2 linked regions of the Sus scrofa genome follow. The protein of the gene in region 2 interacts with the protein of the main gene of each other region in a biochemical or structural test. Links are inferred from orthologs where the notes say so. Each region holds a gene or a part of one and is shown on either strand. Other genes may lie near its edges. The genes, in order: ZMYND11 and ETS2.

What was found.
Region 1: the proteins of ETS2 (region 2) and ZMYND11 form a complex in vitro, tested with the Homo sapiens proteins (2 studies listed by BioGRID). The link is inferred for Sus scrofa from reciprocal best matches to the Homo sapiens genes ETS2 and ZMYND11.

The regions. Positions count from the first base shown.
Region 1 is NC_010452.4:69,183,718-69,187,525, forward strand, and holds part of ZMYND11 (zinc finger MYND domain-containing protein 11), read right to left. Parts: intron 2,563-3,808; coding exon 2,485-2,562; intron 1,718-2,484; coding exon 1,625-1,717; intron 1-1,624. UniProt on the Homo sapiens protein: Chromatin reader that specifically recognizes and binds histone H3.3 trimethylated at 'Lys-36' (H3.3K36me3) and regulates RNA polymerase II elongation. Does not bind other histone H3 subtypes (H3.1 or H3.2).
Region 2 is NC_010455.5:202,462,775-202,467,194, reverse strand, and holds the start of ETS2 (protein C-ets-2), read right to left. Parts: upstream 2,855-4,420; 5' UTR 2,627-2,854; intron 2,424-2,626; exon of another isoform or gene 2,405-2,423; intron 1-2,404. UniProt on the Homo sapiens protein: Transcription factor activating transcription. Binds specifically the DNA GGAA/T core motif (Ets-binding site or EBS) in gene promoters and stimulates transcription.

The sequences.
Region 1 (3,808 bases), on a different chromosome or scaffold from region 2:
ATTATGTTAACAGTGTTAGGGCAGGGGAGACAGCAAAACCTTCCAAACGACGTTACGGCAATTCCCGTGTCCCACCGTACTGATAGAGTGTGGGTGAAGGAAGCCCACAGCTCTCCCTGCAGTTACCACTGATACTCTGTTGAAAATATGTTATACTTGACATAATAAGTTAGAGAATTATGCTTTTTCTTTTCTTGATGCTTTTTCTTTTCTTGATGCGTTACCACTGCAGGGTGGGGAGGTGTGGCAGATCCCACATCCTGCAGCCACTGTTGCCTTCAATATTTATTTACCCACGTGAACAATGTAGCATGAACAATGATGAAAGCTGCTGCGAAGTCCTATAAATAATGAAAGCTTTGGTCAATGGGACTGATGAGACCCTAGCTATCTACCTACGATTTTACAACTCAGGAGAATAAGGATTGAAAAAAGAAAGAACTGTCAGCCTCTGAGAGAGTTTACCATGACCACGAAGAAGACACAGTTACAACTCTGAATTGGGATGAGGTGTTGATGTATAAATAATTTTAAAATAAAGTCCTAGACGGTCCTCCATGCCCCGAGGCAATTGCTGGCTCTTGTCCGGCATCAAGGGGCACAGGGCTCTTTCGTGAATATAGACACCTGACCTCCACTCTGAACTTCTCATTACCTCCAGCTCAGGGATGTTCAAACCCTAGCACCGCCCAGCACTTCCAGGCCACCTGACTAAACCCAGCTGGGAACACCTGCACCCAGAATTCCCCAAGGACTCTCACAGCCTATATTTTGGTATGGACGGCAAGCTCCTGAAAGCATAAAAATCACGTCTTCCTCTTCATTTCCTTTATGGTATTTCTGTTTACAGCCTGCCCTTGCTAATAAGGCACCATCGACCCAGCCATTGGGTTCCACAGGCCTGAGAAGATCAGACGGGGAATGCGGGCGGTGGGGGGCATGCAGGGAGAGGGCAGCAAGGGCAGCTGAGTTCTTCATCATTCTCAGAGCCTCAGAGTCAGAAGAGAGGCTACGCAATCTGGGGTTAGAAGGGAAAATTAAAGTTGTTTGTATGAACAACCTTAATTTATCCCTTTCACTGAAATCATCTGCCTCAGTCTTTCTCAGAAATTAAGCAGATTAAGACATGAGCAAAATGATTTATTCCTGTGGTTTCCCTGTTATGGACAATGGTATGATTTTAAAACTTCAAAATGACATAAGGTACAGATCAGCACATCTACAAACCTAACTGGACGCAGGTCAAAGTGTTCACTGAATTTTACTGTAATTTGTAATTAAACATTAACAAGCCCATTAGCAAGCCTCAGCTAGAGTAGGTGAAATTAAGAACTTGAATTAAGAAGAACCACACTTTCTAGTTAAAATCTTTGTTCAAGTTCATGTCACTGTTTCTCAAGACTCTTGATCAGTTCTATGCTCTAGTCTTCCCTTGACAGAGACTCCTAAGCACTGGGGTTAAAACTAGGAAACCACACCCGGGTGTTAATTACACCGACCAGACAGCGTCAGGAATCTTTTCCAGGCCTCTTAAAAGATGACCCCTAGTGAGCACTGGAGGGAGCACAGTACACGCACAAGGGCGCAGGTGCACAGCCAGGGCTGCGCTGCCGCGGCGCTTTACCTCCTGTATGGCAGGGACGTCCACTGCCGAGTGCACCAGCCGCCGGTACATGGGGTGCTTGTTGTCCTTCCCCTTCTTATTAAGGTCGATTGCCTGAAAGGTTGTGAGACATGTCCGTTTAAAACATGGCTAGAGAGACGGGCGAAACACAAACTTCTGAACAAATACTTTAGAACTGAATGAAAAATGTACATGTGCCGTAGTTTAATGTGGCATTTCTTCAGGTTTTTATAGAAAGAACATTTACTTTGGAAAATTCAATTTCATTTAAAAAACTAATTATCAATGAAAATGTTCATTCTGATAAATGGAATTTTAAATGTAAATGTTTCTAATCTAATGCAGCTAAAGAAATGCCTGTGTCAAAAACAAAAACAGGGAGTTTCCATCGTGGCTCAGGGGAAACAAATCTGACGAGTTTATGTGAGGACGCAGGTTCAATCTCTGGCCTCGCTCAGTGGGTTGATTATCTGGCGTTGCCGTGGGCTGTGGTGTAGGTCGCAGATGAGGCTTGGACCTGGCACTGCTGTGGCTATGCTGTAGGCCAGCGGCTTTGGCTCCGATTGGACCCCTAGCCTGGGAACCTCCATATGCCGCAGGTGTGGCCCTAAAAAAAAGGCAAAAAACAAAGCTAAAACAAAAAATCTAAAACCAAAACAAACAAAAAAACAAAGACAAAACAAACAAAACAAAGCTAAAACAAAAAATCTAAAAAAATACGACAGCAGTGGTTTCCACCCTTCGTACTACTCTTTAAATATTTGTTACTTGTCAATCATTAACTTTTAGAGACTAAACCAGAGTGAAGCACATCTGGGGAGACTCTGAGAGCCCCACCCCCATCCCAGCCCCGGACGCACCCGCTCCTTCATGCGGGAGACGATGAACCTCAGGTATGTGCTCATCTCCTGCTTGTTTGTGTTTTTCTTCTTGATGCTCTGTTGAAAACAAAAAGGTTGATGTAAAATCTGATCATTTATAAATCTATATACATATATAAAGACGTCTATATATAAGAGATTATAGTGTGCAAAGATTTTCTTAGTATGCATCATTTCCAACATTTCAAAATTTGCACAGCAAAAAACAGCATTTAATGTAACAAGGTAAGAACCAGAAAATATGTTATACTTGACATAATAAGTTAGAGAATTATGCTTTTTCTTTTCTTGATGCGTTAAAACTTCAACCAAGTTTCAGATGAAAAGAAATAATAACTATAATAATAATGTTGATATAATAATGATATAATGTAGAATCACTTATTTTTATAAAAAATATCGATGGCTGAAATCCTGTAGGGGATATTTTAAATGGCAATATTACATGGTGAATTTCAATATAATATTCTTCTTTGTTAACAAGGTTATTAGAAGCCTGTCTCTCTTAGGAATTATGCACCTGCAGCAGACACATCCACATATCTTCTTAAACGTGCTACGGAACTCTTCAGTACCAACTCCAATGGCTATTAGTCTTGCCTAAAAGCTAGTCAGACTCCTTAATTTATCTCTCAGATAATTTAACTTCACATGAAGAAAAAAGACGGGATTCTACCTTTTATGTCATTTCTAGACGGCCAGCAAACAAGGGCCAATGCTCCCATTTCCTTAGTCAAAGGCAAGAAGACACCACAGCAGACACTGGACTGCAAGCAGGCTGCACTGCAGAGGACTGAGTAGGCTGGGCCACTATCTGATAGACGCTTTAACTTTGTCAGGCCACTGGATGATGATTCTCTACCCAGTTTTATTATTATTTACTCCCCAAAGAACTTTATACACAGGATTTCTCTCAATATGCTAAATATGTGGAGGAAGGAGCAAACATTTCTCAAGCAAATGAGAAATCTTAGCCATGGCTTAAGCAAATTGATTATACATACACAGCATGAAAATATCTGAACACAAAGTAAAAAAGATTTCCTGAGCATCTGAATTGGAATTTCTGGGGGAAAGCCCTGTGTCCTGCATCTACTCGGTCATTTGTATGTTAATTTCTCAGGTGGCTGTGATATCTGGCCAAGACCAAGAACCAGTGGTGCAGATGTGGAGTTAAAATGCAATGCCATTTCCTGGACCCCAGGTTACAATCCTGGGGGAAGGAGGCTTTGATGTAGCTTATACATCCTCGTTTTTAAACAAAATCCCCAGTGATACCCAGGCACACAAACATGTGAGAACT
Region 2 (4,420 bases):
ACACACACACACACACACACACACACACACACACACACACACCCCTTGGCTAGACAAGCCCCATGGGAGGAGGACAGCACAGTGACAGCCACCGGGGAGGCCCGAGGCGCTGGGGGCAGCTGTTACAGCCCTCAGAACGCAGGGGAATTTTCGTGGTTGCCAGTGGAGGCTGGAAGCTTAGACAATAAATAAGAGTGGGGGGTGAGGGTGGGGGTTGGGAGGAGGGATGGTCCTGGATCAAAAGGGATCAGGTTTGCTTAGAATCTCCCCTTGATGGATCGGACGGTGTCCTCCACAGGCCCTTAAGATCAGTACTCACTACGGATGATCGCTGCCCTGGCTAAGGGCTCAGCCTGAGCTGGACGATCCCACCAGCCCAGCTGGCTGAAAGGCCTGAGCCCTGAGAGGTAGATGTAACCTCTCACCGCGAGGCAACAAAGATCCAGAGACCTCAGGTGCCTGGCGCAGGAGGACGCAGCGACAGCAGGGGCATCGAAGGGGCACTGCGCAGACCCAGTCCCAGGCCGGTGATGGCCTTCCCTCCTTCGCTCCTCCAGGAGCCCAATTAACCCGAGGGATGCGGCCGGGGCCCTTCTCCCAGCTCATCAAAAAAAAAAAAAAGCAGCGATGGCACCCAAGTCTCATTAGACAAGGTTCCTGCTCGTGAGACTTTACTACCTGAAATGCTCCTTAAGGTTCATGGAACTTTCTGCCATTTATCTGGGTCGACTACGTCCTGTCACCTGCTGATGACATTCACAAGCTTCAAACAGGAGCCGAATGAAAGGATGTGGACAGTTATCCATCTTCTTCGTCCAGTTTTATCCCACACTTCAGCTTCGCAGAGAATGGACGTGGAGGGCAATGGACTAAGCCTCGCCTGGTTTTTGTGTACAAACACCAGGAGGAAAGGCAGTCTACCCCTCCCACACAGAGAGCTGTAATTACTAGCTACAGAATAGAATTCTTTTGTTGTCCAGCTTTTAATTTGTTTTGTAAAAACCATGTAGAATCAAAGCGCGCTACCAATGGTTTCTGGCAGACACATAACTAATCAAATTTAAGTTCCCGTCTTTGACTCCACGAGGCCAGTCAAGGTGGCAGACAGGCCAAGTTTCTCCACATCCTAAGTCAATTTCACATTTAGGTCTTTTGGGGGGGGGGTGCCCTCCTGATTGTTGCCTTTGAACTACAACAACACAAACGGGAAATGGCAGCCACGAAAGGGCTGAGAAGGATAACATTTTTAAACAAGCAAAACTTGCCGGCCAACGGTACCCTCGGGGGACAAGTGATTCCTTCTGCGAGATTAGAACACGGGTTTGTATTTCGGTAAATTTGAGGAGAAAAGAAAAGAAAAAGAAAACCTCAAAACGCACTTTCGAAGATTGATTTGCTTTTTCCTTTGAAGGTTATCAATTTATAGAGTCAGGAATGACTAATTCCCGAAATGAGTGTTCAGCTATTTTCCTGCAGGACCCAGAGCGCTAACATTTATTGTACTGTGATATTATTCAGAATTTTAATAAACCTTAACTGGGAGATTTCTCTCTCTGATCGGCGGTGGTGTGGGCAGGCACAGGGCGCACAGGCGCTTCCACTGTGCGGAACAAACATCATCTCTCAGTGGTAAATTAAAATAAATTACCTCTCAATCCAAAGGGGGGACTGGCTCACTTCTTTACTTTCTAAATAAGTCGCACGTCAACTACTATTTTAGGATACCCTATAATTGAATACAGGATAATATAAAAAAATCTCTTGTGCTTTAAAAAACACACACGCACAATCGCTGTTACCTCTTCATCTAAAATGCTGTAAGAACCGGGAAAGGCAGCTTGGCGCACCTACATCCCCACTTCCGACTGGCTCCCCAGGTTCGCCTAGCAGGACCGAGGGCCCGAGATATAGAGGACCTGGGGCGCCCACGGGGGTCTCGCTCGAGCGCCAGGACCCTCCCGGCGCCTCCCTCGCCCGCCGCCCCGGCCGGGCCCTGGACGTGGCGGAGCAGGTGACCGGGGGGTTGGGATCCGCCTGTTTTCGGGGATCCGTAGCTTCCAAGGTGTTTCATGCGCCCCTAGACCCCGATCTGCCCGGGCCCGGCGCCCTCCAGTAAGTCACCCACAAACCCGGGCGCGCCGGGGCCCCTCCGACACCCTCTCCGGCGTCCCCCAGCCCCTTCGCGATATCAGGTCTCCCAGGCGCCCACTGGCAAGGGCCCCCCACCACGCCCGCGTTTCCTTTTAAGACAAAAGCAAGTGAAACAAGTCGGCGCGCCCCGCCCGCCCCAGCCGGCTCGGCGACCCCAGAACCGCGGCCCAAGTTCGCAGCCGGCTCCGCGCGTCATCGCCGGGCCCACTCCGCGCCCCACTTGCCGCCCCCAAAGCCACTGGGCCATCCATACCACGAGCTGAGCGGATCGGATCTCAGAAGCGCGACCCCTGGATCCTAGGAATAGCCGCCACCCCTCCGGGACCCCGGCTGCGCCCTGGGATCCGGCTCTCCGCGCCACCCACGTCCTCCACGCCGTTTCTGGATCCCTCGGCAGAGGAACCGGGGCCCGGAGGGCGCTCCCCGCCGGACCTGCCGGACCCTGGCCGCCCACCCGGCCCGACCCTGCTCTTACCGCGCCGCTTCGGGCAGGGCGGCCGGCGACTCGGGGCCCGGACTCCTCGGTGCGCGCCGGGGAGGGCGCGGGCGGCGGGGCCGGGACGCGGGGAGGGCGCTCGGCAGGCCTGAGCCGGCAGGGAGCGGCGGGCGGCGGGCTCCGGGAGCTCAGGGCTGGGGCGATACCGCGCTCCGCGCCGCCGCTGGAGGAAGTAACTGGCCGGTCCCCTTCGCTGCGCGCTCTTCAGGAGCCGGGGGAGGACGGAGGAGGGAGGGGAGGCGACCGCGGGGAGGGGAGGAGGGGGGCGGGGGAGGGGAAAGGCGAGAGGGGAGGGGAGAGGGGAGGAGATCGGGAGGGGAGGGGTGGGGGTGGAGAAGGGAGCAAAGTCGCGAGAGGGCGGGAGCAGGGGAGGGGGGAAGCCGAGGGGAGGGGAGCGGAGTGGAGGCGGGGGGAGGAGAAGAGCAGGGGGCGGAGCCAGTCCTTCCAAGCCCGGCCTCGCTCGGCGCCCGCTGTCACTGGGCTCTGTCCCTTGCCTGCGGTTCGGGGGGCCGTGGTGGGCCGGGGACCCCGAGGACTCGAGCCCTGTGTGTGTCCCGGGAGCTCAGAAGGAGAGTCTTTCTTTGGTTTCTTCCGCTGGTGCGGAGACTTTAACACCAAAACCTGTCCTGGCAGGACTGGAGCAGTGCTGGTGCCACCGAGCGGCCACAGGGCTTGGGTCATAAGGGACTATTTCTGGCCCAATTCTTGGACCTCTTCGTGGACTTCTGACTCTTCTGTCCTGAAAAGACACTAAAAGACATGATAGACGTACAAGGTGGGCCCTTTTCTGGGTCACAGAGCGCCCCTCTGCTCCGGGAAGCCCTGTTCCTACCGCCTCCGAGGAAGTGGCGCCCCCTAGAGTTGAGCGGTGTCTTAGTAGGAACCAGCCTTTGAAAGAGCTTCCCTGGGCTCATTCTCAGGATAATTGTCCTCACATTAAACATGAGGGAATGGGCCCTTTGGGTAAATAACTTGCCGAGTCATAGGACGTGTGAGTGGGAAATTCAGGGTTGAAACTCCAGGCTATCTGACTTCCAACTATGGTCAAAACCGTCACCCTTCCCCCCCAGAGTTTCCATTTTTAGCAGGAGATACTTGAGTCCATGGCTAGAAATGCACACATTTCCTATTCAGATTCCGGTCACATTCTCAGTATTTATTTATCTATTTATTTATTTGTCTTTTCTCTCTTTTTCACGGCACCGGCGGCATATGGAGATTCCCAGGCTAGGGGTCCAATCGGAGCTGTAGCTGCCAGCCTATGCCAGGGCCACAGCAACACTGGATCCGAGCCGTGTCTATGACCTACACCACAGCTCAGGGCAATGCCGGATCCTCAACCCACTGATCGAGGTCAGGGATGGAACCTGCGCCCTCATGGATGCCAGTCAGGTTCGTTAACTGCTGAGCCACGACGGGAACTCCTTGGAGAAATATTTAGATGCCCAGGGGTGGATAGAAAATACAATAGCTCAGCTTAGGCAAGGCCAGGGACTGCAGTGCTGTGAAGGGAGAGAGGAGCAGCCTCCCTTCTCTGTTACCAAGGTTCCCGGTTTCCATGGCAACCCTAACTCCGGAGTCATCTGGATAATTGAGATACTATTGTGCCTTAATGTTTCCAGGTACCTGAGGGTCTCCAGGTATCATCATTACGTGGGTGAGACAGGGTCTGTGGAGGCTCAAAAAACCCGGTGCTGAGAGGGTTTGTATTTACAGCAGGTTGAATTGATTCTGATGGTCTCTCTGTGTATATTCAGGCCTGGATCAGAAACC